Linked DNA regions of Bombyx mori. The protein of the gene in region 1 purifies or fractionates together with the protein of each later gene. This does not show direct contact. Links are inferred from orthologs where the notes say so. Each region holds a gene or a part of one and is shown in the gene's direction. Other genes may lie near its edges. The genes, in order: Syx6, vesicle-fusing ATPase 1, syntaxin-7, soluble NSF attachment protein 29 and vesicle transport through interaction with t-SNAREs homolog 1A.

The links.
Region 2: the proteins of Syx6 (region 1) and vesicle-fusing ATPase 1 purify together in Homo sapiens (affinity purification with mass spectrometry; 3 studies listed by BioGRID and IntAct, with this or other methods). This does not show direct contact. The link is inferred for Bombyx mori from reciprocal best matches to the Homo sapiens genes STX6 and NSF.
Region 3: the proteins of Syx6 (region 1) and syntaxin-7 purify together in Homo sapiens (affinity purification with mass spectrometry; 3 studies listed by BioGRID and IntAct, counting the BioPlex papers as one, with this or other methods). This does not show direct contact. The link is inferred for Bombyx mori from reciprocal best matches to the Homo sapiens genes STX6 and STX7.
Region 4: the proteins of Syx6 (region 1) and soluble NSF attachment protein 29 purify together in Homo sapiens (co-immunoprecipitation; 3 studies listed by BioGRID and IntAct, counting the BioPlex papers as one, with this or other methods). This does not show direct contact. The link is inferred for Bombyx mori from reciprocal best matches to the Homo sapiens genes STX6 and SNAP29.
Region 5: the proteins of Syx6 (region 1) and vesicle transport through interaction with t-SNAREs homolog 1A purify together in Homo sapiens (affinity purification with mass spectrometry; 3 studies listed by BioGRID and IntAct, counting the BioPlex papers as one, with this or other methods). This does not show direct contact. The link is inferred for Bombyx mori from reciprocal best matches to the Homo sapiens genes STX6 and VTI1A.

What each region holds. Positions count from the first base shown.
Region 1 is NC_085107.1:6,216,431-6,222,858, reverse strand, and holds the start of Syx6 (syntaxin 6), read left to right. Parts: upstream 1-2,721; coding exon 2,722-2,756; intron 2,757-4,345; coding exon 4,346-4,516; intron 4,517-6,428. UniProt on the Homo sapiens protein: SNARE promoting movement of transport vesicles to target membranes. Targets endosomes to the trans-Golgi network, and may therefore function in retrograde trafficking.
Region 2 is NC_085128.1:5,787,434-5,793,859, reverse strand, and holds the start of vesicle-fusing ATPase 1, read left to right. Parts: upstream 1-2,844; 5' UTR 2,845-3,011; coding exon 3,012-3,023; intron 3,024-3,385; coding exon 3,386-3,474; intron 3,475-4,604; coding exon 4,605-4,734; intron 4,735-5,584; coding exon 5,585-5,670; intron 5,671-6,320; coding exon 6,321-6,426.
Region 3 is NC_085107.1:5,745,795-5,751,025, forward strand, and holds the end of syntaxin-7, read left to right. Parts: intron 1-124; coding exon 125-275; intron 276-1,240; coding exon 1,241-1,334; intron 1,335-2,237; coding exon 2,238-2,362; intron 2,363-3,036; coding exon 3,037-3,285; 3' UTR 3,286-3,347; downstream 3,348-5,231. UniProt on the Homo sapiens protein: May be involved in protein trafficking from the plasma membrane to the early endosome (EE) as well as in homotypic fusion of endocytic organelles. Mediates the endocytic trafficking from early endosomes to late endosomes and lysosomes.
Region 4 is NC_085122.1:5,756,589-5,762,436, reverse strand, and holds soluble NSF attachment protein 29, read left to right. Parts: upstream 1-2,574; coding exon 2,575-3,372; 3' UTR 3,373-4,426; downstream 4,427-5,848. Other genes in the region: eIF3c (eukaryotic translation initiation factor 3 subunit C), read right to left, coding at 1,852-1,944; gastrula zinc finger protein XlCGF57.1, read right to left, coding at 4,467-5,558, 5,632-5,796. UniProt on the Homo sapiens protein: SNAREs, soluble N-ethylmaleimide-sensitive factor-attachment protein receptors, are essential proteins for fusion of cellular membranes.
Region 5 is NC_085109.1:1,648,048-1,654,219, reverse strand, and holds the start of vesicle transport through interaction with t-SNAREs homolog 1A, read left to right. Parts: upstream 1-1,921; 5' UTR 1,922-2,179; coding exon 2,180-2,273; intron 2,274-2,668; coding exon 2,669-2,727; intron 2,728-2,918; coding exon 2,919-3,027; intron 3,028-4,005; coding exon 4,006-4,142; intron 4,143-4,422; coding exon 4,423-4,488; intron 4,489-5,103; coding exon 5,104-5,253; 3' UTR 5,254-6,172. UniProt on the Homo sapiens protein: V-SNARE that mediates vesicle transport pathways through interactions with t-SNAREs on the target membrane. These interactions are proposed to mediate aspects of the specificity of vesicle trafficking and to promote fusion of the lipid bilayers.

The sequences.
Region 1 (6,428 bases):
TTCCAACTGTATTTCTAGATTATTGCTGGCCAGTTCATCTTGATTACTCAGCTTTTTCTAAATACAAAGACTCAATAATATTGACTAACTTAGTGAAAGAAACTAATTATTGGTTATATAAGTAGGTATAGTTATGGGTTAATGGTATAAAGTATAGACAATTAGAACCTTTAGATGAAACACACCTGATCTACAATAATCTTTAAGGAAAATAACTATGGTTTTGGGCTATCTGAAAGCTGTTGATCTAACATGATTATGTATGTATCTATATATTTTTAAGTTTACTTTTTGTCAAAAATGTGAGTTCACAAATTAATCAACCTAATACCAACACAAACAGTGGACCAACCAATAATACCAAATTATTTTATTTTTTCTAAAATTTACATTTATTTGGAGAGTGGAGTGATGTAAGATGAACAATGAACTTAATATGAAACAAATGTGTTTATTGCTAATTATTAAGTTAATAAAGTTACATAGTATTTTTGGTAAACTATGATTGCCATCTTATTAAATAAACTTGAATCGTATTATGAAAACAAAGCACTTTAAGAAATAATTCTGAATGAAATCTATCATCTTTAACACTTTCAACTTCAAACTAACACACGATGAGTTCAACACGTGAAAGGTATATTGTTTTTGTAGGACGTCTGTCAAATCTAATCTATTTCGTAGGGAACACGTTTTGTTCAATGAATGTTGTAATTATATTTAAATACAAAACAAACTAGGTAAATTGTAGGAGATATTAATTAAAATAAAAAAAGAATTCGAAACATGTCTTCATTCAAAGATTGTAAAACTCATGTATTGTAATTTCAATATATTATTTTATAAATTTCTTAAGAAACTTACCTGTGTGACTGCCGCCAGGTGTGGATAAAACTCAGGTGCATCTGGATTAAGCGCGGAGTTCATTTTGATACGCAAATAAAAGAAGTGAACCGAAATCAAAATACGACGGCAGCCTTTGTTGAGCGAGCTTTGTGAATTGTGATTTGTGAATGCGATCTAAAGTCCATCAACTGTCAAGTCGATGTCAACTGCCAGTCAGTTTTTTTTTATTAAAAGAGCGTTGGGAATCCATCCCATGAATATTTATCTTTTTAGTAGGTAAAACTCAGTGTTACTTTTTAGACACGAAGACAAGGTATCTATCCTTTTAAGTCCAGAAGTACCTGTGATTGCTTCGAGGTAAAAAAATGCAGGATTGTGGAGCCTACTCATGCGAACTTCCAATACCCCTGCCAGCAATATCCACCCAACTTTTTAAATATTTCATTTTATTTTCATTTTACGATGCTACCCTATTATCCTGAAAATCATTTATGAACGTATCGATAACTCATTTTCTAAGAAAAAACGACCCTAGCCTTTTCGATACGCTCTAATAGCAGAAAATAGTTCCTCAAAGCACCCCCGCTGGAATAAATGGTAGCAACGCATATGTACTGACCTAAAATATCTTCACATACACATTCAGACACTAAATCAGAACTTTGTATTCCTAAATTTTGTTGTTGTTAACAATCCGGAATAAGAGTCAGCGACAGAATTAATTTAAGTTCACGTATTCAAGCTAACGATAATGATTTTTTTTTTGCTTAGATGGGTGCACGAGTTCACAGTCCACCTGGTGTTAAATGGTTACTGAAGCCCATGGACATCTACAACGTAAATGATGCCACCAGCCTTGAGATATGAGTTCTAAGGTCTCAATATAGTTACAACGGCTGCTCCACCCTTCAAATCAAAACGCGTTACTGCTTCACGGCAGAAATAGGCCGGGTGGTGGTACCTACCCATGCGGACTCACTGGATTGCATAATTATTATTTTTATAATTCAACAATTCTCCTTAAATAATTACAACGTAAAATATTTAGCTTTATAGTTATTACATAAGTCTGGTTCTGATTCTTCTTCTTTTCAGGCGTATGCACTCTTGGGAGAGTGGTCGTGTCGTGGTCATCAGTTCGGGTGCTGGTGCGCTTCACATATTGCTTCGGAGTAAGCATCTTTTTTAGGAAGAAAAATGTGATCAGGGTGTACGTGCAAACAGCTGCCAGAATTTTGTGCTCTATAGGTTTGAATTAGGAAGCATATATTGTACCATAGACAATAACATTCATAATGTACAACAATAACAAAAAAGTTTATAAATACAATAAATGTATGTACAAAATCACTATTTTTTTTCGAAGTTTTGTTTTATACACTGTACTATGATACATTTTATATTTAATTATTAAAATTCGAAGTGTATTAGTTACATACAGCTATATATTGTGCAGCAATACAAGTTCTAGAGTAAAAAAAGTGACAAAACCAAAACTGAACTCTGAAAGAAGGGAGGCAACGAGGTGGTAATAGATTGATAGTGTGGGGCTATTGTGGGGTGAATCTAAGCAGGGTTTGTTGTGAGTTCTCCCGCCCCGAAATAAGTCCTCTGCGGTTGCGCACTGCAGAGCGTTTTGCCACTCTGCGCTGTTTGCATTTTACATGAGCGAGCAAGGGATAGAGAATAAGGCTTCATCGAGCGAGCTTTAAACAGGGTAGGTATCACACTCGATATTCTGTGGGTTGGTCGCCAAGCCGAGGTATTGTACGAGTGTAAGAGAGTGTGCATTTATGGTTAAATTTACAGTTTAAAATTTTAGAAAATCCACAATCACATGGTTCTTTTAAAATTTTTGTTTTATTTTTTGTTGACATGACTTTAGAAGATCCTTTCTACGTCGTTAAAGAGTAAGTGGAGTAAAGTAACTGTTCATTTATATTAATAGATGGCATTGCAGCTAGGGTAAGGTAATTGTTTCCAGTGGGTGGTGCTGAATATTACATGATACTGTGTAGCAAAAAGCAAAGGCTGAAGTTAAGGTTTATATACGAATATTGATTTAATAATGAAAACGAATTTAGTATTGTGCATCTTTTTACTGTTAAAAATAAATGTAACACACTTTAAAATAATTAAGTGTCATTTGTGGACTATAATTAAGTAACATAAAAGTACGAAATCAACTCAATCTAGTCTAGTTTTACTTCTAAGACATCACCTAAAGTAATATCAGCTAGGAGGAGAAAAACTGACAAAGTACAGGTCTTGTTTATTCTTGTTTTTATAGCTATTTTAATAGCAAAATGAATAACTTTGTTTAAGTATGTGATGAGAAAGTTTAAAATTTTCATAGAAGATCCAATATTAATATTCTTATAATATATATACAGTATAATATTTATGAAACTTAAAATTTATTGGATTTAAATAAATTGAATATTTATTAAATTACAATTTTAAATATCGTTACAAAATGTCCTATTGCTATTGCACATCAAAATAGATACTTAGATTTTAATATTTTTTTTATTACATATTTGGGTGAACACACTAATTAACAACTCATTCAACTGTTATATTAAGTAATTGCTTTATTGATCTTCAAGTAGAAAGATCTTATGAGAAATAATAACATTTAACATTATGTATATGGCTATAGGATTATTATAAATAATTGTAGGATTAAATAGTAGGAATAGGAAGAATTAAATAGTAAATGGGCTCATACTTTGAGAACTATCATTTTTTATTGCCTTTGTAAAAAGACCGTATGATCCATCTGATGGTAATTAACCTTCATAAGCTATGTACATGAGCAATTTCAAGGGTACAGCCAAGCTGATGCCTAATTTTGAGGACACTTACATCTCGTTTGAAGAAAGACATGTCATAGCTGTCAGAAAACATGTTAGAGGGAGGTTCATTTCAAACTCAGCTACAGCAGTAAGTTTCTAATGACCAAATTTTGATGTTACTCCCATGACTTGAAGGTTTTTGACATGTTCTCAAGAGCTTTTGCTTCAAATTCGGACGAGGAATGTTAAAAATTCAAATGCTTTGTTGATTGTTGGATCAAATGATTGATTGAATGAAATGATTTGGTGAAATGTGATTAATTTTTACTGGTGGTAAGCGTCTTGTGAGTCCGCAGGGGTAGGTACCACTGGTAGGTGATTCTGTTTGAAGGGTGGAGCAGCCTTTGTACTTTAAAATTAAGACATTAGAACTCATATCGCAAGGTGGGTGGTGACATTTACATTCTATAAGCCTGTGGGCTCCAGTAACTATTTAACTCCAAATGGGACATGAGCTAGTCCACCCAAGTAATAAATAATAAAATAAATAAACAAATGTAGTACTTAAGAACGAAATTAACTTTTCTTTTAGACACACAATACTCAAGGAGTTTTTCAAAATATTTGTGAAACCCTATATATTTTGTATATGACATCAGCTTTGACTTACTATATTAACTTTTGGTACTTTTCTGACACAGTGAGGTGTTCAAAGCACTGAATAAGACTCGTGGTTTGTACCTACGCTGGCAGGAGATTTGTAAGACTCCAATAATTGCAAGTAGTCCAGAAGTAGAATGGACTTCGACTGAATTGAAAAATGCACTGCGCAGCATTGAATGGGATTTGGAAGATTTAGAAGATACAATAAATATCCTTTAAAATTATTTTATATTTTGTAAAATAGTGATGATGTATGTGTTTGTTGTAGATGCTTTTTAAATTGATAAACTTATCAGTTAAATGTTAACAAAAACATTCCATTAGATTTATTTGTGCTATCTCAAATTCCAACATTACTAATTTTCATGGTCCTTAATGTTTTGTTATTTCGGGTTATTTAATATATTATTTACAAATTCCTTACCTTCACACTAGCTTCTTAAAATTTTATTTTATAATTCTTTAGTTTGTCACATGAGTCCACTTGCTGTTTATTAGTCATGACAACAATTCATAGATACCATATCACATTATGGTGGCAATCTGCCATCACCTGCTTGGTGACATGAAGTAGAGATTTCAGTTGTATTATACAATGACTGTCTTTCCCATCAAGCAGAAATGCATGAAAGCTTTACAAACACAAGTAAGCAGTTCCCATTATAAATATGCAGCGTTCATATTAGAAGTATTTTACTCTGAGAAAACTTACACATCATCTTATCATTATTAGAATTCATTAATAAAATATCAATACAAGAGTACTTTTCTGTTAGGACATTCACATAATTTTGTATTAGTTACATGAATATTATGTTTATACCTTATTATATGGTCTATTATTCTAGATGAGCAATGAAAAGTGACAAGTTGCAATGTAATGAGATTTATTTAGACCCCAAAAAAATTGGAAAACTGAAAATATAGCGGTCATAGGATAGGATAGGTCATTCACATTTGAACTAACAGGCATACATGCTAATGATCTGTTTCGTGATCTTGCCCAAATTACACAGAATTCACCTAATATTAAATTGATATCATCAAATAGCATCGCTTAAGTTCTTGGGTTTAAAGGGTCATTGATTTGTATGTATGCATACAATAATAACTGTGATAAATCTAGCATCTTGTCATAAGACAATTTCGTCCGGTGGTGGGTTCGTCAAAAACTAATTTAGGAATAGAATAGAGAACAGTAACCTAGATCTTCTCTTACGTGAACTATATAAATGCGTCAAAATAACAAGATGCAAAGTGACATGATACAGTCCGCAAAAAGAATCTGAAAGTACTGGTTTCCGTTCAATTAATTTTTGACATTATTTGCCCAACTCTAAAATCAAATAACCATGGAGCTAGTAGTATCTTCATCGATATGTTAAGTTCGTCGTTGCATAGTTTTGTTTACAAAGGTTGGTAGTACACTCTAGGCCCTAGGCGAAAGCGCGCCAATGGTTCCGAAAATACTCGCGTAATCCCTAAAAACGAAATTAACATATATTTTTTTTATTACTCTTGTTTGTATTTATTAGTGATTCTCATTAATGCGCGGAATAGATAGAGTGGGATAAAAGGCATGCAAATTATAGACATATATAGTTACAAGAATTTCTTTTCAAAATTCCACCGCAAAACACGACGAAAATGAAAACTTATTCTACAAAATATTTATTAACTAGCTGACCCGGCAGACTTCGTAGTGCCTCAATCGATAAATAAAAGACCTAAACTTTTGTATAAAATAAACTTAAAACAAACAGAAGGGATTTTGATATTTATTTACCTTTTAAACCTTCTTTGGACTTCTACAAACAATTCAAGACCAAAATTAGCCAAATCGGTCCAACCGTTCTCGAGTTAGCGAGCGAGCGAGCGAGACTAACGAACAGCAATTCATTTATATATATATATAGATTGTTAGTTCAGTAATATATTTTATTCAAACAGGTTTATCATTTAGCATAAAAATGTTGAAGGATGTCTAATACAGAAAATTATTGACCAGTTGCAACGGACCGCTTAAAAAAATCACATTTCGTTGAGTCGCAACATATCACCTTTCATTGCTTACATAGGTAACAGTGCGCAATTTGAGTAAAATATAAATTTCTTAACCAC
Region 2 (6,426 bases), on another chromosome or scaffold:
ACCGCAGAGATTAAATTATCTCTGCGATTACAAGTGAAAAAACAAAAAAGTGAATAAAACGACCCCATTATGATTTTTTCAACAGTAAATAATTTACACTATCTACAGTCCGCGCGCGAGCTCCGAGGATTTTTTTAAAGGAATGTTGACGTAATGAGCTAGTGTTGTAATTAGTCGATATTGCGCTATCGATACTAACACATCTTAAGCCTCCGTGCGAGTGTAAATTATAAAATATGAGGGTATTATGTACTTGAAATAAAAAAAAAACAATTGATCACGTATGAATTTAATTTAATGTACTGATACTTATTGAACAAAATGAACGTGAAATCTTGTTAATTACTCTCGCAATCAGATTAATCAGTAGTTGAAGAATTTGATGTACTCTCCTCTTGATGTCACTCTCCTCACGTACTTCAATAATAAATGATTCGACAACATCCTCCATTAAGCCATCCTTTTGCCAGTAATATTCCTCTAATGCTAAGACATGTTTAATATGCTAGTGCTTGCCATTCCTTTTTCATCAAATGAAATAGCTATTTGTGCAAACAAAAATACTTATAAGTGTAAGACTATTTATATTAGAAATCACACGTAATTAACACTGTTATCGCAAAATTAAAGACGAGTCGATAAGCGTACTCTCACGTTAAGGTCGACACTAGTACTGGGAGAGTGCTGCGTATGAAGCGATGGTCGGGCGCGGTGCATGCCCGCCCGCTTCCTCAGCCCCCGAATCCTTGGAGCTCACGAGCGGACTGTAGGGTGCCTTTAAATAAATATATTGAAAGGACCCATATTGTGAGGCTTGGAAAGTATAATTTGGACTATGTCTATTAGCTCCAGTAACCACTTAACACTAGATGGGCAGTGGGCACATCCAGCGATCTAAGAAATTAATGGAAAAAAGAAGGTCAGGGCTCAAATTACTGAAGTGCCCATTTTTTCATTAGTTATTGCAAATATTATATCATTAGGAATTATTATATTGTAAAAGCAAAACATACTTGGCTTTTCAAAATTATAATATACACTAGCAGACCCAGCAGACTTCGTAGTGCCTCAATCGATAAATAAAAAACTTAAACTTTTGTATCAAATAATACTTAAAACAAACAAAAGGAACCCGTCGGGCGGGGGACACATCAAAGGGAAATTATAAGTGTTATTTTTATTTAATTCCGAGCATTTTCATGTATCCTATGTATAATGATATGTATAATCTACCTTTTAAACCTTTTCTGAACTTCCACAAATTCAAGACAAAAATTAACCAAATCAGTCCAGCCGTTCTCGAGTTTTAGCGAGACTAACGAACAACAATTTATTTTCATATATATAAATTACTTTTAGAATTTCTTTGCAAATTCGAATTTCAAAGATTAAGTTTTTCGATTTCTAGACTAAAGAGACTTTATTCTACTCTACACTAACTCGACTTAACTCGACTCGACTCAATCTCCAATGTGCGTTTTGGTATAACTCGTAAAAATAAACTCCATTCAAACATGCTTCGAAAATTTTCGTCACCGGAGCGGAGTAAATGAACTGTCAAGTCAACCTTGAACATTCCTCAAGACTGGTTTTCTTTAAATATCCAAACCTTTTTATCTATACTTTTAATATTATCATTGTATAATAACATATTTTTAATATTATAAAGCCGAAGAGTTTGTTTGTTTGAACGCGCTAATCTCAGGAACTACTGGTCCGATTTGAAAAATTCTTTAAGTGTTAGATAGCCCATTTATCGAGGAAGGTTATATAATATTACGCTAAGACCAATACAAGCGGAGCACAGATGTTTCAAAATGGGGTCTTTTTTTCGTTTTGAGAGCTTCCACTGCGTGCGCTACGGAAACGGTTAAAGTTTTGCTAAAGTATAAGAGAATTGTCCCCTTTAAAAGATTTAAAAAAAGTCCGCGACAGCATATGTCCATATGTTAAGGATGGCTCACTATAACGTTTTTTATGCTAACCGAATTTGTTCTAAAATAAAGTATTATTTGTGAAGGTGTTTTTATAAAGATGATATTAATCCCTATCCAAATAAATACGTTATTCATTACAACATTGAAACACCCAAATCACTTCAAGATACACTTTGACAATTATAGAGTTTTCTGGATTTCTCCAAGATCCCATCATCAGATATTGATGTAAACAGGCGCATTCGGGAACTCTATCCTTTCGAACAAAAATAAAGAAAAAAGAATTATCAGAGTCGGTTGAAGCATTCTCGAGAAATCGGTGAACGTACATAGATAAAAAATTATAGTCGAATCGATAACTTGCTCTTTTGAAGTCGGTTAAAAAGCGTGATTTTGGTACATTAAATAGCTCTTTAACATTCTATTGTCCAAAAATATTTCTCATTTTCAACGTTAAATGAAGAGGCGGGTAAAATTAAGCGTTATGCCATAGTAACTATTCCGCACTTACGAAGTCGCGGGCAAAAGCTAGTCTCTGATAAAATTTCATAACTGTTTAATATTGTAGATTATATTTACCGGGAAAACATATTGTGCATTGTTCAGCTTACACAAAAATCAATGAATCACACAAATGACACAATTAAATGTTAACACAATTAAAAAAGAGAACCAGCATACATTGTGTCATCATTCGGTTTCTATTGGTTAAAAATGAAATTCTAATGATTTAACACGAATTGAGTCCTGAATGAGTCGAATTGAATCCGAAATAGGGAAAAATATATTCAATTTTCGACTGTTTGACATCAATTCTGTGATTTATATATCGATTGACGATCGATTGTACAAAATCGACTCTTGGATTAATAGGACTCATATTGCCGTCTCTAATACTGACTGTTTATTGATCGCTTTGTCCAATGGATAGTGAAGTTAATTCAATGCAGTGCGGTCATTTGTTGCGAGAGTGACGGTAAGTTTATGTACTGTGATGTCAAATCAGTCTACTTTTCGTGAATCATTTGTCAAAATTTAGAGCAGTGTTTTTAATCAAAGAAGAAAGTTGCAAAAATGTCTTCAATGGTATGTATGTAGTTAATTTAGAAATAATTATTAATACCACGATACACTCTGTAAGGCCACTGAAAATTCAATTCTAATTCACAGTACAGTCTCTTAAAAATTAGTAGTTTTTATTTTATTTATTTTTTTAACCAATGATATTGGTCCTTTTAATTTTAAAATGAATTTACTTGAATCCTACCGTATTTAATAAGTCTATGAATAACTAATAAAGGTTAAATTGTTTACAATAAAATCGTAACTTGTAAAAATTGCAAAGTAAAAAAATCTGTTTGTTTTTAGTTGTAGTCGTATAATAAATATTATGTACTATTATTAGGCAATATATTGTGGGAGTTTAAAATAGTATAATTTTGCTGCAGCGAATGAAAGCAGCCAAATGTCCATCTGATGAGCTTGCCATCACCAACTGTGCTCTAATACATCAAGATGACTTTCCAAGTGACATCAAGTTAGTATAATAGAATATAAGTATAGAAAGATACATATGATAAGTAGTTCTTTCTTTAAATGAGGTTTGTTTTTTTTTTCGATCATTTGTTATAATTTAGATCTGCCTCCAACAGTGCCATTGTACATGAGCTACAGAAACTATACAATTTCTGGAGTCTCACATGCTTCTGCTAAAAGTTATTTTTAAAAATTAATGTAATAAAATTTTCAATAATCAGTCTTATTTATATCTATGACTTACTCCTGAAGACTCCTGAACATAGCCTGAAGGATTGCAAAGTCGATGTGACAGTGGGCAAGACTACATAACTTGTAGAACATTATTAAATATCTATCATTATTATGTAATTTTAATATGTTTATCAGTATTGATCAGAATCAGTTTTTATGTATAACAGGTAAAAAAGTACATACAGGCATAGTTGAAATGTTTCATTCAGAACAATTACTTCTAGTCTAGATAATACTAGAAGTCTAGATAATACAGTATCGCACAACATGGGACTTTGTAGGAATGTATCTACTGTGTTATAGGAGGGTCACTTGTATAATTGGATAAACAAATTCTAGAACCATCTGGTGTTTTCTTGTTAGTTTATAAGCTTACACTGTGAATTTTACAATACCCCATGAGATATGAGGTCAAAATTTTAATTATATTGTGTAACGGCTGTCACTGCCTTCAAACAGATTTATGTGACTACATTTTGGCAGAAATGAACTGAAGGGTGGCTGATCCGTCAGTCCTCTTCTATATCTAATAGGACTTCTTGCAAGGTCAGACCAGTGTTTTGTAAAGTACAAGTGTTTGTCCAGGTCTGAAGTACCTCGGTCAGGGCTTTCTATAAATTTAATAGCCATATAGCTTCTCATTTCAAATGACTTCAAAATTAAATATTGTCTCAAGGAAACCCAATAATTTGCCAATTGGAAGTTTGCAGAGAATCTCTTAAGATTTACGACATGCACTAGTTAAGTATTTCATAAGAAAAATTTGTACCAACTAGAGCTTTTTTGTTCTGATGGCTACGGAATATCTAAAGTTTCTCTTTCTGTAAAGGATTCTCTTTTTGTAAATAAACATTTTTCATATACAGATAATATTTAGCTTTTTCTTTCATTTACCAGGCATATTGAAGTATCTACAGGACCATCTCAACACTTTGTGTTCAGCATTCGGTTCTACAATGGAGTTGACCGTGGCACTGTTGGATTTTCTGCCCCTCAGCGAAAATGGGCTACCCTCTCTATCGGTCAAGTGAGTTTACATGCACTATCAATACGCTTTTTAATTACATATTTACTTGTTATTGTAGGTGAATGGTCATCCACCGTTGACATCTGACAGTTGACATCAGTAATACTGGGGGCATATCTAAGTAACTGACTACAATAGAAGGATTGCATTAAATCTTATCATGAAGAAGGATGACAAAAGTCTGAGAAATACCTATGTGAGGAATTCATTCTAAAGCCAGATAGTCTGGGGGGAAACAATCTTTCTTAACATACTAGAATTAGATGAATGCAGTGATTCCAGATAGTATGGATGAACTATGATATACATAGTATTTTGGGAAGCGGGTTCTACACCATTTTCCTGAACACTATTGTATGAAAATAGTAGATTTATTATTTATAATAAAATATATTTCTTTACACATACATGTCTCTGTTAAGTAGATCACTGAAAAAATGGTTTGTACGTAACTAAGAGTTGGGATATTTTCAACGTGAAGATGAAATCACAAGTCAAATAAACGCACCATTTAAATGTCGATAGGTTGCCATCCGTGATCATGAATGTAAAGCATACATTTCTTAAAATAAATAAAACTACTTTTAAATAATAGTTTTTTTTTTCTCACCTATCATCATATAATATAATATTTTTAAAAACAAATCTGATTTTTTCATACAAAATGTTTTAATTAGTCGAAATGTAAATACACGCTAGACTTGTATACGTATAATTAAATAGCGCGATTAGATAATAATATAATGGGGGAGGCAAATGTTCAGCGGTGGAAGTCCGTGGCTGAAAATAAAGAAATTTGATAAGAACAAAAAACTATGTATAAACCATGTATATTTTTTTTACTATGCAGACCATTGACGTGAAGCCTTTCAAACCCTCTAGTGCTGAATGCCTTTGCAGCGTAACGTTGGAAGCCGATTTCATGATGAAGAAAACGTATGTGTGAATTCAATCTGATTAGTACTTATTGATGTTACGTAACTTTTCAGTCATCATTTGAAAATAATTTTTAAAATTTCCTTGTTTTTAATAGATTGGGTGGAGCAATTTATTTTCAACTCTGTGATTAAATGAGCATAGTAATTAATGCAACCCAATATCATTATAATAGCAGATAAAGTATGAAATTAGAACGAACATACAAAGATCTTGTTAGTAAAGAAAAATGGAATGCTTAAAGTTTAATAAACCTAATATCTATAAATTTGTGCTGTCTCAATGGAATATATTTTGTGCCTTTGACATAGCACTGACGATCCTGAGATTTGGGGATTCAAAGGAAGGAAGAGTGAAGTGCATTTAATTCAACTAAAGAATTTTGCCACTTGCATAAATATTTCATACGTAAAGTTACCGATAGAAAAAAAACGTTCATTATTTTGGCATAGCTATCCGCGAGTTCTAGATGTGATTAAACACACACAAGATTTAATAAACACATGCATATGATGCAAAAACGCCTTCGAAAATAACTGATCAATAAAAATCTATTGTATTTTTCTAATTTACTTAAAAAGTGTTGTTTGTTAACTATGATAACTAGGATTTTTTTTTTTATTATTGTTGGAATGTATTTCCTCTTCCAGAACATCAACGGATCCATATGATTCGGAACAAATGGCCAGAGATTTCCTTATTCAGTTCGCCAATCAAGTTTTTACTGTCGGACAACAGCTGGCTTTCTTGTTCCAA
Region 3 (5,231 bases), about 470 kb from region 1:
CCTTGTTTATTTCACATTAAGCAGTATCATCAGCTTAGAAATTATAACTGCAATATACTTGATAGAGATTTAGCATATTGTTTTCTAAACATATCTTAACTTAAGAATAACTTTTTCATGACAGACGCCAAATACAAAATTACACTCAGAAGCTGGCAAAGGACACTTCCTCTTTGTTAATGGAGTTGATGAGAATGCCTAAAGATAACGCTGCCAACAAACTTACCAGAGAACGACTCAGTGATGAGTATATTGCCACTCTTAATAGTTTCCAGGTGTGTGCTTAATTTATTAAATATCGTTATTGTGACATTAATATATTGTTAACTAACCCGCCCTCACTTCGCTTCGGAAACATTAAATTTTATTATTGATAGCCGAGTCCCGCGATGTTACCCGCGGTTATTGTCGTATCGCGGGTGACACCGCGGGGCGAAGCTAGTTATACATATAAACATTCCTCTTCAATCACTCTGTTTATTTGTTTATTATTATCTAAAAAACCGCATCAAAATCCGTCGCGTAGCTTTAAAGATTTAAGCATACATAGGGATATAGAAAGTTAAATAGCGCATAATAGTATACAAAAAAATTGTATATTAAAAAAGAAAACAAAGTATAACTCATGTTAAGTAGGTAATAGGGAGTAAAATAGTAATAGCTTGGAAGACTAGTTCATTCAAGTATTTCTTAAGAAAATGAGAAGATAAAATTATAAGCATTAGGTAATTGGCCAGTTCTGTCTATAAGTAATCTTAGCGATGAGTGATGCAGAATTTCGTATTTTTCAGAAATTCAGAAGTTTTAATGTTTACGCAAACGTTAGGAGTAAAATTAAAAAATTAAATTAATATTAATATTCAATAATTTACAAACATTATGTATCGCCAAATAATAATATATTATCTATCTATCTATTACAAATGATAATATATAAAACGGCTAGACGCGTCTCTAAAATAGTGCACAGTCAAGAGTTTGTTATTCATTGAATTTTATGGTTAAAAAAATTCTTTTACTATTTATTTTAATCTAATCGTCTAAAACATAATATAAATTTGTTTTGAATTTATTTGTCCTGCAGTATTTTTTTCATTAGCATAACTGTATAGCAACCCTTTATTAAGTCCAAACATATTATAATATGGGAATGTGTACTTGCTGGTATTTGTAACATTCTATTATATGTACAATCTTTATTTTTTAGACTAGAAAATATATTTTTTATTTATTTTTTCAGGCAACACAACGACTCGTTGCGCAAAAGACAAAAGAAGATGTGAAAAAAGCAAAGGCTCAGTCTATAAATATTGGGGATCCTTTCGCTATGGGGAGTAAGTATAAACTTTTTCTCACATTACTAAAAAGTACTAAAAGTACTAAAGTAAAAAAAGTATGTACTAAAAAGTAAAAGTCATATATCTATTACAAAATAGAAAAGAGATTACAATACAACGTGAACTGTTCCATCAGACAGAGGTAGTAGTAGAACTGGCGATCCCTAGCACGACATGAAAGAATAAGTCACGTTTGAGAAATTAAATTTCACCATTCCTTTTTTTTGTATTGCTCGCAATTTAATACAATTCAAAATAACTAAGGCTCGGGGTCAACTTTCTAGAGGGAACGAACACGAAATATAAATCTAACAAAAACGAGTGTGTGTATGCGTGTGTGTGTGTGTAAACAAGTATGTTTGTGCAATAGTTCAGTAATTAATAATCTTATGCTTCGACTCCTGGGATCTTTTGCAAATAGTCTGTAGTCTATTATTCGTCTACAAATCAAGTCCACGTGTGACCTGAAATAGCGTTTGGATTAGACCAGCAGTACATCAGGCTATTAGAAAATTTTAGTTTTCTCTTCGGAAATGGTCTCCTAAAAATTTGAATTAATAACGAATTAAATTTACTGGTGGTAGGACATCTTTTACTGGTGGTAGGACCTCTTGTGTGTCCGCGCGGGTAGGCACCACCACCCTGCCTATTTCTGCCGTGAAGCAGTAATGCGTTTCGGCTTGAAGTGTGGGGCAGCCGTTGTAACTATACTTGAGACCTTAGAACTTATATCTCGCGGTGGGTGGCGCATTTACGTTGTAGATGTCTATGGGCTCCAGTAACCTTAACACCAGGTGGGCTGTGAGCTCGTCCACCCATCTAAGCAATAAAAAAAAATCATAGAATTTCAACATACGGAAAATTTGACCTATTTACATAATTATGATGTTGTTTGTGTAGACAGTAACAAAGATTTGGTAGAGATGACCGAGACAGATGTCCGTAAGCAGGAGCAAATGAATATGCAAGCTGAACGTTCTCTCGTCGAATTGGAGGAACGCGAAAGAGATATTCGGCAACTTGAGGTATATATATTTCATAATTTAACTAAACTCCAAAAGAAATATCATAATCATATCTATTAAATTTTATTATTCGCCCAGTATCGATCATGATAAAAAGAGGTTTTTTTTTAAATAAAACAAAAAATTAATTTAATGAATTTGAATTCTAAAATGAATGCCTGTAATGTCTTATATTAATGTCAAATGGAGAATAGATTAATATTGTTTGTCTTTAATACATACTACTTATTTATAGTGTAGGTACCCTTGGCGAAATCTGTGGTTATAGAAGTAAAGTTCATTGACAATAGAACCATCATAATGTTAAAACTTATAATTTAAATTAGCTTTTCCCAAAATGGGCGATAACGCCGCTTTGTGGGCGTTGCAGGCCTAAAGGGGGGCGGTAAGAGACCCAGAAAAAAATGGGGGCGTTGTGTAGAGGCTTGGGAGGCGATTTGTAATTTCATCTAGGAAGACTCTTAGACACCGGCTGAGCTCTCGCTATAGTGGTTTTGAAGTAGTTGAAAAAATGGGGGCGCTAAAAATAATTTATTCTCAAAGTGGGCAGTAGACAAAATAAGTTTGGTAACCCCTGATTTAAATTAATAATTATAGTCGAATTTCGACTACTGGGCGGCCACTAGTTAAAGTAATTGTATTTAAGGAATATCAAATCTGACCGTTTGTTTTAGAGTGACATACTAACCGTTAACGACATCTTCAAAGAGCTGAGTACAATGATACACGCTCAAGGCGAAGTTGTGGACTCCATCGAGTCTAGTGTTGAATACACGGCACAGAACGTCGAGAGCGCCACACAGCAACTCCGGGAGGCTGGGAATTACAAAGTAAATATTATATTAATACTTTATTTTAACAGTAACCTACATTACACAAAAAGAAAAACATACATCAGACATATGTATTATAATACTAGCTGACTCGGCAGACTTCGTAGTGCCTCAACCGATAAATAAAAGACCTAAACTTTTGTATAAAATAAATTGTTTTTTTTTTTTAATTTAATTCCGAGCATTTTCATATTTATCTACCTTTTAAAACTTCTCTGGACTTCCACAAATTTCTCTAGTTTTAGCGAGACTAACGAACAGCTATTGATTTTTATATATATATAGACTAGCGGACCCGACAGACGTTGTCCTGAAACAATCATTTAAGTCGGTCCAGCCATTTAGTTGTAATATAGATAAATAGTCTAGATACCGACTGCAGCGCCATCTACCGGGCTGATTTGTGAATCTAAACCATCCAGGGCGCCACCCAAGCGCATACAAAAAAATTATTCAAATCGGTCCAGCCGTTTAGGAGGAGGAGTTCAGTGACAAACACACGCATAGAAGAAATATAGTCTTTTCGCATTAAAAGTACAATTTCCAAAAATATTCGAAATTGAGTTAATATGCGGAATCATTTGGTATGACCAGTATTTTTCTCATAAATACTGTCCAAAGAGCGTATTTTAGTTTTTTTTTTTTTTTTACTTTACCTATGTTTTGACTACTATTAACAAAATTAATACATAATTTTATCTTACTTTAAAAGACACATAGTGTAGCTGGTAAAAAATAAAATAAAAAAATGTTGCAAAGATGATTAATATTAAAAATATCACATGTTATAGACCTTTAAAACACTCTCCTGTAAAATTAGTAAGTTTTGATATTATACAGCTTTAATGCGAGAATACTATATATCAATAAAGATAAAAATATTAATTATTGAAAACTTGTGGTACGTTTTTGTTGTTTACGTGTATTAACTTTTTTTTCCAGAACAAACTGAGGAAGAAGAAAGTCTACTTGGCGATAATATTGATCATTGTGGTGTCAATAATCTTGATCGTTTTGTTCCACAACTAAACACAGCTTCGAGATGATATCGTTGCTTTTGAAAAACGTAAATGTCTTTTAAAATAAATAAATATACGTGGATTAAAATAAATAATGACATGTTTTGTACTATTTTCTAATATACAGTTGTAATGTGAATTGTGATACACAATAGAAAATACAGAATTATTCGCAATCCATCATGTAGAAGGATTGACACTAAGTAAGAACACAAAACAATTCCGTAGGTTTAGTTTATAATTTGTTTTCGATGTGTCGTATATGTAATACCTTTTTTTTTTAATGACCAATAATGTGTAGACTATATTAAAAAAATTCGGACTGTTCCTTTAACGTTTGCTACAACAAAAATGAATTTGCAAAAAATACTACGTACAAAAAACTTATGTTCGTTAATATACACAAGGGATTATTAATTGCTTTTTATTATAATAAATAAATAGCAAAACTGGTAGCAGCGTTTTGAAGACATCTCGATATAGAAAGTATAATATCATGTAAAATAGATATTTACGTCATTTGAAAGCAGCTTCGATTTTTGTACATTATTTAGCCACCAGCGTTCTGCTGTTATTGTATATATACGATCATTTAGTCATAAACTTTATTAATATATTATTATCACTTACGTAACATGCATAGCATATTCATTACGTGGCTGCAGTTAAACTCAGGTCTTTTCTAAGGTGCGTAATGACCGTGACCAAAAGGGGGGGGGGGACTATACGCGAAACTTTGTAGATGAGGATGATGATCATGATCTAACGACTGGACCTTGTTTACGATATGCTTTATACGTATACGGAGAAAAGTTTCAATAGCATCAAAACGGCAAACATGACCATTTAACAAATAACCATATAATGTCCATATTTTAATGCCATTTTCCGTTATGAGGTTTTCACTAGTCGTAGAATGGAACACTTTCCACCTACTAAGCAGACAGACGTGATCACGAGAGTTATAAAGTTTTCCGAATAGATTGTAACTTGGTATGTTTACTCAGAATTGAGGGT
Region 4 (5,848 bases), on another chromosome or scaffold:
CGTATCTGTGGAGTCCGCTCAGAGGACACCGCACTGGGGAGAGGTTAATGTATCACAATAGAACATTAACTAGAGTTACAACCATGCTCGGTAAGAGCTGTTGTTAGTAAGCTAGTGTTAATAAGAAATAACTATCCAGTTGATTTTATTAACGCAATATTATAATGGAAGAAATTTTCAATACTCGAATAATCATCATTTGAAGACCAAAACTAAGACATGTAAAACATGCATGCCGTGGTAGCGCAGGCTCTTCTTACACAAGTATACGCAACCTTCCTGTTGTTCACTTATCCTGAGTGCATACCTCAAAATAGAGGCAATTTACTGAAATGACTTGGGACTATAATAATATTGTGAATTGTAATTATAATCTTGTAGAATTTTCCCACAATGGCGCACTTTTAAGATTTTTAATCTGTTAACAATATACAATATTAAAAGATGACAACAAAAAAAAAATTAGCAAAAAAACACAGCAACTCTTATCTCCCAATCAATTTATAACTTTTAGTCTGATCATTTTCTTTTTAAAATTTGAAGCATATGTTTAATGTTTATTACAATTAACATTAGATATGTGTCGTTCGCCAACGAACGAACCAAACGACCCGGGTTTCAAAATCCGCGCGAACATTTCAAAAAATATGAGTCGTTCACTAGATTGACCCGTTTAACAAAACCTACGAATCAGAAGAAAAGAACCATGCAACAGTCATTCGGGTCATTTCGGGTTGCCGGGTCTCGCCCCGCGCCCGTCTCGGTTAGACGTTCGCTGTCGCATAATGACGCATAACGTATTTGAATTTTTTTTATCTCACCTAAACAATCGAACTATAACAGTTCCTTTAAACTGTTATTCAATACTAAACTTCATTCAGCCAGTGACCTGATAATATTAATCACATCATAAATTGGTGTGATTAACGGAAATCCAAACGTTTGACTGAACGGGTCGAACGAACCGGATCATTTTGTCAACAGGTCAGTATTGATCTGATTCTCTAAAATTGATTGAACAACACATATCTAATTCACATCACTGTACTATTCCGGAATCAAAGCATCTTGTTATACAAGTCAAGACAAATTAATAACAAATTGATATGCCAATCACTAGATGCACTTATTAAACTCATAATTGAAATAAATAGAAGTTTTAGTGGCTTACTATTGTTACTATTAAATTATTTATCCATGTATATTATTATATTACTCCAAATTATCTTTCAAGCAGTATGCCAGTTGACCAACAAGTCTACTAAGAGTTTAGGAACGAAAGAGTAGCACGAGCAACCCTTTGTCCTGCCAAGATGTAACTTGTGGGATTTTTTCAGATATTTTAAATTTAACATGGGTTGAATCCTATGTCATACCTTATTTATTATGAATTAAAAATGTTTTAATAATATTATACCATATTTTACAAAGATGACTGAATACAAGAAATAAAATTTATAATTAAAATAATTTCACAATCATTACAAAATATGGCTGTTCCCTTTGCCCATTCAATTTTTTGGACAAGTCGTTAGAAAGCTGTAAGCTGGCACAATAGCAGATTGCGAGCAGAGCAGAAATACATTATTGATCGCTACCCCCTCTATTAGCTACTGATAGTGGACATTTAGGAAAGAATTTAAAGGATCACATTTTTCAAAACTTCTAAAAGAGTTACAAAATTTTGCTAATTGCATTGCTGATTACCGAAAAAAAGTTTCATATATCTTGTCATCCTACATGAGATTAATGTTAGTCTCCCTTGGTAACTTAAAAAACTATTTATCTTTTTTTAAACTATAAATTGAAAATTTTGTTTCCTTGATTCCCAATTATTTATTTTAAATTTACCGTGTAAACTGGCGCGGGGGCGCGTACTACTGGCTCGTCCTCGCTGCTGCTCTCTGACTCCGAGTCCGTCCCAGTTGCAAAGAAACGACTCATATTTACAAGAGTTAGTTAATGCTTCTGTAAAAGAAAACTTCGTTAATTCCAAATGAACATTATTTGACTCCAATGGTAATTTATTTTCTTAAATATCTTAAATAAACATCAAAATTAGTAATAAATAGTTGACTTGTCCTCGCGTTGAGGTTATAAATTAGAACTGTTTAACATTTTTACAATACTTACTGTCTTATATTAAAAACAGAGTAGGTATTCAGTTTTCAAGCAATCCTCTGATGATAGACTTAATAAATTTGTAGCGAATAGAAAGAAAGCTCTCAAATACAGACCTTGCCCACGACTCACTTCATACGTCAAACGCATCAAAGTTGATCAAAGAGCTAAACTTTGTTTCAATTGTTCAATTGGAAAGGCAAAGGGAACGTGGCATATTGACTTTTTTTGTTCAATTAGACAGACACTTAAAAAAATCGTTTTATTTGGCTACATCCCTTTGCTCGTCGTATCAGATAAATTAAACCTAAAATAAACATTTATGGTACATACCTACCATAATAATTGTGTATTATCTGTGCTTACCACCCCCATAATTTCAAGTGCATTCTTTTTGAACATCACCAATAAAGTAACGAGAACACACCTACGTAGTAAATTACATTTTAAGCAATGTCTGGGCATAAATATTTCACAAATCCGAACAACCTATTCGAAAATGACGACGTCGATGATAACGAATTTGTAGATCGCTTCCGGTCAAGAATACCTCAAACACAGCAAGCAAATAAGCCTTATGGAGGTCATATTGCAGAACTGGAACGTCAACGCCAAGCTATGATCCAAACACAAAGAGAAATCGAACAACGGACAATAGATTCATCAACGAGAAGTATCGGATTGCTTCGTGATTCTGAACAAATTGGTATTGCAACGGCCGAAGAGCTTTCCCGACAACGTGAACAGCTACAGAACACAGACAGGCGACTTGATGAGATTAACACCAATTTAAACTATAGTCAAAAACATTTAAATGGTATAAAGTCTGTATTTTATGGTCTGAAGAATTATATTTCCGGAAAAAGTGATCAAACACCATCTAAAAGTCCAGCGACCTCGAATGTACGTAATGCTGGTACAAGTAGTAGCAGGCTTGATGAAACCCTAGATAATATGTCTAGGAACGTTGAAGATCGCTTTGAGAGTCATCCCTCAGCACGCCTACATGGTTTGTCTCAAGAAAGCGCTAAGAGTCCTGAAACAGAAAACGAGAGAGTAAATAATATACTTGATTCGAACTTGGATGAAATGGTGCATGCTATATCCCGGCTCAAACATCTAGGAGTTGCACTTGGTGAAGAGATAGAACAGCAAAACAACCTCGTGGATACTATTCAAGACAAAGTTGAGATTGCAGATATCAAGATTGGTAAACAAAATAAACAAATGAATAAACTACTTGGGAAATAGCAATAATTATAGCAAATTAAAGATTTATTTTAAACAACAACTAAAAGGGTCTATTAATCTATTAAATGTATCTGTTTATAAAGATTTAGCATGTTTTTAATGTGAGTGGTTTGCAAAATTCAGTAGTGTAATCATTTTGTGTGATAAGGAATACTAATGTATGGCAAAGTTTGATAAGATTATTTTTTATTTGAATCACATGACCAGCAGCAATTTGATAAACAACATGGTGTAAAAAGGGGATTTCATAGTAAAGGAAAAATCCATATATAATAAACCTACTAGTAATGTAAATTGTCTGAAAGGCTTCTTACTGCATACTAATGCTCTATACATTCGTCACCACTGCTGAGCTGACTGGCATTTTTATAAAGCTTCATAGTATGTAATAATGGTTCTTGTGTGATACTGTCCATTGTTAGCTGATCATGTACACTTAGTTACATCTAATAAAATGGTGTATGATTCATATTATTTAGGTAAACCTTTTCTGTATCATATTCGATCATCATAACCTTCATTCATTCTTCATAACTTTATTGTGCACAGTATATAGTAAAAAAAATTATCTTGTAATCTTTAAATAAATGTGTTATCTTTTTGGCTAGCAACTTATCATGACAAATTTCTTCTATTTGTTTCTAATTGTTGTTCATGCAATTAGAGACAGTTACAGTATAATAGCTAGGTTTCACTATTTTAAGATAAAGTTTTAAGTACACTTAAATATATATAAATAAGACTTGTGTGCAAATAAAACAATATTAGGGCAAAACAACCAATATAAGGTGAGTACTTACTTTAAGTACCTATGTTCTATTAACTAATCCAAATTTTAAATGGGTGAAAGTTCCAGACACCTCATCATGAATTATGTTCTTGCATCATAAAGTAAGGTACATACATACTAATATTGTTATCAATGAGTTAATGTTTGCCATTAACAATAATTTCATTTATATCCAAGAACCTAGCGATAAGTGTAAACAGTCATTATTATTATATATACTTATTTTATATTGTTTCCATTAATAAATATATTTCAAATCACAAATGCTTTATTTTCTTTAGTTTTTTAAATTCTAGATAGTAATTTACATATTTGCATCAAATACTTGTTCGAAGAAAGTATTATCAACAACAGTTTCCAATATCATGTCATTGGCATCAACATTATGAGTTTTTATATGTTTTTGAAGAACTCTTTTATTTGACAGTTTCTTCCCGCATATATTGCAATGGAGCTCCACAGTGGCATGAGATTCCATATGCATTTTTAAGCCTGAGGCTGTTGCAAAACCTTTGAAACAAGTTGTGCATTTGTGCTGTCTCTCTGTCGTGTGAGTGTGTGCAAAATGCACCAACAATGAATGTTTGGTGGCAAAGCTTCTTTCACAGTCTTTATTGGAACATTTAAATGGTTTTGGTCTCTGTTGGCCAGTATGAACTATGCTATGTTCCCGTAAATAAATAGCTCTGGTGTAAGCTTTAGGGCAACTAGGGCAAGCAAACTGTTTTACTCCAGTATGACTTTTCATGTGCATGACTAGAGTTGATTTTGCTGTAAATCGTTTTCCACATGTAACACATACAAACAGTTTACTGTTGCTCGAATGAGCGACTCGAAAGTGCTCTTTCAATGACTGCCTTGATTTATAGGTTTTGTTGCAAAAACCACATTTGAACTGAGCAATATCTCTGTGGCTCAAGAGATGTTGGCGTAAGCATCCAGAGTTGTGAAATGTTTTGCCACATTTGGAACACAAGAAGCTTTTCACATTAGCATGCTTAGTCATGTGATACCTTAAACCATATATTCTTGTAAATGACTTAGAGCAAACTGTACATGTGTATTTTTTTTCACTTTCTTTTTTAGGCGGTTGTTCAGTTGATTTAATTACAGTAACAGGAGGTAAAGGCGTTAACTCTTTAGATGAGAATGGTTCAAAGTCTAATGAAGCATGGTTATTGAAAAGTGGAATATCATATTCATGATCTTGATAAACAACATTAATATCAATATTTTCTATTTCAGTCCTGTGAAGATTAGTCAGAGATTGCATCATAAGCATTTGAGATAAGGTTGCATTAGCTTTTAGACAGTTTAATTTGAAATTGTAGGAATGCAAAGCTGTAGAAACACACGACGAACATATTCCTTGTGGCCAATTCTCTTCGTCATTATTCTGAAAATTAAAATAATATTAAATAAGATACATAATATTGTAGCAACAAAAAAGTGGGATAAACACCGTTTACCTCTAAACAGTTCAGGAAAACTAAAACATCGATCAGTTTAACCTTACTCATTTCGTGTTCTACTAAGTCCTGAACATTCATAAACATTGTAGAATCAGATTCTGTTAAGCAAGTCCGACATATGTTTTTTGACAAAGGTATTATTAGACTTGTGAATTCCATCATTAATGGTAGGTACTAAAAATCAAACGGAAATTTATCAAAAACATCAACCATA
Region 5 (6,172 bases), on another chromosome or scaffold:
AATACCTGAAGAAGTTATGTTGTTATGATACTATTTGCTAATTTTTAACTTTAAATGGCTCTTCTGTAATAAAGTTGCATAATGTCACTTTAACCAAATAGTCTTTCGTCCCTCAATATCATATATTCAAGTCTTAAAGCAGAGTAATTGGACAAACGTCCATCTGCTGATTAAGCTTTATAATCTTACTAGACGTATTCGCCTGCTTAGCTGGGCATTTAAAATTAACATTATTATTTATTGTCATTATTATTAGGGAGTCCAACACCATAAATATTAGCCTATCCATTAATCAAGTCAATCGGATGCATGATTCAGTAATTATAACGGAACATCCGTAAAAACCACTGTAGATTTATATATTAGTATATATTATATTAATATAACCCTATATGTTTCTTGAAACCTATCGATATATCTTTTTTTCCATAAACCTTACCACACCTAGCCCCTTTTAATTGCATCATTGATTGGAAACAGATTTAATACATCAAAATATATCCTATTGTCCTGTACAACACTGGACTAATCCTCAGAAACCTCAAAAGTTAACTAAGTATAAATCCAGTCATATTGACATCCATTTTCACAGTTAGCTTTCCAGTAATCATTATATAGCTGGTATTTAGCTTATTGGTTGCCCTTGAAAAAATAGATAGTTACATGAAAACTACGCAACGAAATTAACTCGACTTTCGCGTCAAACATCTTTCGGGATTTTCGATAACATATAGGTATCAGCAGGTACATTCATTCGATCACTATTAGGAAATTTAAGATCATCATAAACCTCATAGTCTACAAACGATTCTCAATATATAAAACGGTTCGCCTTAAAAACAAAGAGAAAGCAAATTTTATAAGGGAAATTATGTACGAGAAAATATAGCGACTGCATCCTAGATTGCACATACTTCTCCTAATGGTCACCTCGATCTTTAAAATGGATTTTTGATCTGCATTCGTAATGAATTATAGTAGTCAACGAGCATACTGGGAAAAATATAGTAAGCAGGTAGGTACGTTACCTTTAAAAATCCCTTGTTTACAAAAAATTGTGAGTCAATATTTGAACTTGTTAATTCAAGTCAACATCACATTTCTAACAACTGTTATTGCTATGCCAATAGCAATTTGAGCACCTAAGTCCAATTTTATGTTTCGTAAATGCAAATTACATTGGTTCGTAGTTTCATATCGCTATTTTTAAACAGCTTCCTTCAAAGCAAAATTCAATCTTTCAACATCAATTGTTGTTTTATCAAATTCAATGATTAGACAAAGGAGATAACGCCCATCTACAGCAAAAAATTTATTACGAAAGGTCGAAGGCTATTTAATTTTTATGAAAAGCTTTATTGGGAAGTAATAATTTTGATTGGTTGTGATGATTTAAAAAGGATTCTCAATTATTATTACAAATTCAGTCCATTAAACTCTGAATAAATTCGAAGTATTTTACTGAGAGGCTATTCCATCCATCCATTCCATAAATCATTCCTTAACTAACTAACACCTATGGTGTTATTTGTCTCATTTCTTCAGATTTAAATGTGTAATAACGGTGGTTTATTAGCTGTTTAATACTTGTGAAAGTGCACAAATGTGGGAAAATGGAACAAAGCCGCTGGACGAAGCTTCTCGGGATCTTCCAAAAAGTTCACTGAAAATGTCTCAGTAGATTTCCACCATTTAATTGAGATTATATTTCATCCCATATCATCTCATCTCATTTCTTTTAATCTCGATTGAGTAATATCTCAAAACAATCAACTTCATTTCATTTCGCTCCCTACTATTATTTTTCATGAAAGAGATTACTAAACATCATACAAAAAATAAGGCTGTATAGTGTGATACCTTCGCCTTTCCACTTGGAAAAATGAAACTACTACTTGATTGACACTTGACAATTCACGTTTGCTTAGTATCAGGTGGCAAATTATGCTTAATGTTTTCCTTTTGTCCTGTATCGTTGTTTTTAATCTGTTATAATTTCACCTTTGTTAATTAACGAGGCTGTATTCATACATTTATTTATTTATTATCAGAAATTACTATATCAATTTACAGAACCATCATATCTATCAAGGCTCATAAAAATCGATACCTAAACTATTATTGATTTTTACTTGTTAATGTAATGTAATGCTGTTTAGGTACCAGGTAAATTAAGACGATGGCCACATTAGTGCAATCTTATGAGCAGCAATATTCGGTGCTTACTGCCGACATCACCGCAAAAATAGGACGATTAAAAAATGGCACTGCAGGTAGGGAAGAAAACTAGCTGCAATAAGTTCTCAATTCGCAGTTTATCATCATGATTTAAAAATCTTTAAATTCGATATCATGATAATAGAAAAATGAAACAAAATATGAGCAAGATAATGCAATAATAGATATAGAGGTTACAGATAAGTGTTCCTTTGATTTAACCATGAAACCACACCTATGATTCTCTTCATTCTTGATTTATTTCCTCAAAGTTAATTAGTGTAGTAAATTTAGTTCTCAAAGTCACAATATTTACATTTGAAAATCCCATCTAAAGCTTGTAGTCCTAATTAAGATGAGTTGATCGCATGTTGCAGGCTTGTCAATTGTCATTAGGTTGAAAGAGTGTGCGCATAGACAATGTTTTAATTTAAACTATTTTGATACACAGAAAACCGAGAACAATTATCAAGAGAAATACAGTCAAACTTTGAAGAGGCAAATGATTTGGTAAGTTCAATATAGAGAATGTTAAGTGTACAGTTCTTGATTGCAAAATATGGTTTACTCAAGCTCACATTCCAATGGGAGTTGAATGGTATGCAAAAGACAATGTTAAGTGAACTCCACCAGTACTTAGACTTCCATAATTCCCCTACAAATCACAATTAACAATTTCTTCATGGCAGAAATATTTGTAGTTGGAACAGTTGGAGTTGGAAGCACGAGGTCCCCGTGTAGCTGCTTACCGTGCTGAACTGCAGCGAGTCAAACAACAGTTCAAAACTACACTCGGAACCAATGGACATTGTAAGTTGTGTAATGATTATTTAAATTTCTTGTTGAACAACTCAAAACAATTGATTATGTAATTTGATTATAAATTTATTTGTCTATACTATAGATGTTTATTTATAAAAACTTGACTGTATCAATTGGAGACTGAATAATTTTAAAGGCATAATTTAATTTAAGTTAAAATTTGTTTCTGTTTTACTTAGTGAATATCTGTGACCTTGCTCGTTCACGAAGCCAGCTATAGAAAGCAGAGTATTATATACACTTGACATTGGCGAAATCTAAAAGGAAACTCCATAAACCTAAGAGATAGATAGATAGATAGAGGCTGTTTTAGATATTGATTCGGTATCATCAGTGCTCACTAATAACACATTTTTTAAATTGCACCGATCATGGAAACTAGACAACATAGGAATAAAACACATAATAATATTGTTTTTTCACTATGAAAAAGCATTCAGTGTAAGATGATCTTTATCTAGTATAAAACATTAGGCATGTATGTACAATCAGGCATACCTGCAGTATTGAATAATTATAAAAAACTGGAGTTATCAATAAATACGTTGTCTCGTTTTGGAATCAATGAAGAATAATTTGCCACGTCACGATTATGATAACCCTTTTCAGTATTTATAATAACCCTTTCCGTTTATAGGATATTTCGATTATCGAATTTTTATAGGATTCCGTTTAGTCCGCGCGGGTAACTACCACCACTGTGCCTATTTCTGCCGTGAAGCAATAATGAATTGCGGTTTGAATGGTGGGGCAGCCGCTATACTTGAGACCTTAGAACTTATATCTCAAGGTGGGTGGGGGCATGATGACGGCATTTGCGTTGTAAATGTCTATGGGCTCCAGTAACTACTTAAAGTCGTGGGCTGTGAGCTCGTCCACCCATCTAAGCAATAAAAAAAAATGGATAAGGATTATTATTACCTTTATTAAACTAATACAACCATTATATTATTATGTGCTGTACAGTAGTGGGTGAGGTGTCGGAGAGCGAGGACTGGGGTGCGGGCGATGAGCGCCGACAGTTGCTCGACAACTCAGAGCGCCTTGAACGCGGAGGCCGAGTTTTGTCTGAAGGATATAGAGTCCTACTCGAGACTGAACAGGTACATTTTGTACAATCATCATTCTCCTGCCCTTCTCCCAGTCAACCGGGATCGGCGCAATATGTTTTCTCCTTTCATACTCCTCTATCATATACCATTTCTTCTTAGGTCTACATCTACCTCTTTCTCTAAAGCCTTCTACAATCATAGTTAATACTCTCCTAACAACCTCATTGTACAATAATTAACATTTTTTCAAAAGCAGAGTATGTACAGTTCATACAATGTTTTCACATATTCACATACAATCGTGAATTGTTCGCATAAAAATTTTTTGCAGGTGGGAGCAGCTGTGCTGCAGGATCTCAGCGTACAGCGGGAGACCATACAGCGGTCGCGCGCTCGGGTGAGCTTAGAAATATCGTTATCTGATAATACTATGAAGTGGTGTGGTGATCCAAATGAACTATTTACTGTACATTAATTATGAAATAAAGAAATTTAATAGAGAGAATACTTAAAATGTAGTAATAAAGCTAATGAGTTTATTAGTCTGGTTCTTTTTAAAATGATAACAATGGTATTTTTTACTGGTCTTTCTTGAAGCAGTAATGAGTATCGGTTTGAAGGGTGGGGCAGCCGTTGTAACTATACTGAGAGATCTTAGAAGAGAGAGAGAGAGAGAGTATTCTTTATTGTACACCAAAAAAACAAATAAACAGTGCAATACATTAAATACAAAAAGTACAATTGGCGGTCTTATCGCTAAGAGCGATCTCTTCCAGACAACCATCAGGTGGACAAGAATCATTTGGAAACGAATTACGCGCGGTGTACCAATCCAGTGAAAAAAAAAATATATATATATATAATACATACATAATGTAGAACTTATATCTCAAGATGAGTGGCGACATTTACGTTGTAGATGTCTCCAGTAACCATTTAAACCCAGGCGGGCCCAATCTGGACCCATCTCAAGCTCTAAAAATGTGTGAATGCTTTATATTGGATATTGTAGCTGCGCGAGACCGACGAGGAGCTGGATCGGTCGTGGCGGGTGGCGGCGGGCATGTCGGCGCGCGCGCTGCGGCACCGCGCGCTGCTGCTGGCGGCGCTGGGCGCGCTGGCGCTGCTCACGGGGCTGGCGCTCTACCTGGCGCTGTCCTGATGCTGGCCGGCGTGCGGCGCCCGCAAGCGCTGCGCCGCCCTGCCGCTCGAGCGAATACTCAACGTACCTGTTCTCAAACTAGGATTGACCTTCGAGAAGATGTTACATAATATGAAACCGTAAAACTGTCCTAAGCATATTTTCTTTGGGCGTGACGTTAGTATGTAATGCTTAAAAATCGACTTCGATCACAAATGACACGAACGATATATCTACACGTAATCAAATTAGTTCTTCATAGTGAAGTACATAGTTCTGTCTCGCGTCACATACTGACCAGTGTGCTTAGTGAGAGTTTTTTAACGTTCTCGATAGCGTAAAAGTTAGCCAAATTTGTATAGAGTTGGAATGTTTGCCTACGTTTGCCGCTAGGGGCGCTGATCCAACTCCATACAAATTTGAATTACTTTTACGCTATCGAGAACGTTAAAAAACTCGCACTAAGCACACATATTTACAGGCCGGATAAAAAAAAATAGTTTTAAGGTAATCGCTTATGGCAGCCCTGTAGCTAATAAATTATTATAATCTGCTAAATCACCTTCCAAGGGAGTAAAATTAACTTGCATTATATAACTTGCAAACAAATAAAATGTATTCACTGTTGCTATTCTGTAAGTCTATAATTGATTTTTTATTTATTTATATAGACGTAATTTAAAGGTTAATAATGTATCTACGAATATATTGAAAATATAATTTAAAAAAAAAAACTCTTGTAAATATTAACTTCTTAAATACCTATGTTAACATAGTTTTTAAAATAATTACAATTGTTGGACAAAATGTTACACAAAAAATAAACGGTCACGTGTATTACTAATTTAAATAGAACATAGTTAATCTCAATAAATTATAAGTTTTTCAATTTGAAAACTTGCTAAATTTATCTGAATAATCACTAAAATGATCTCTTAAA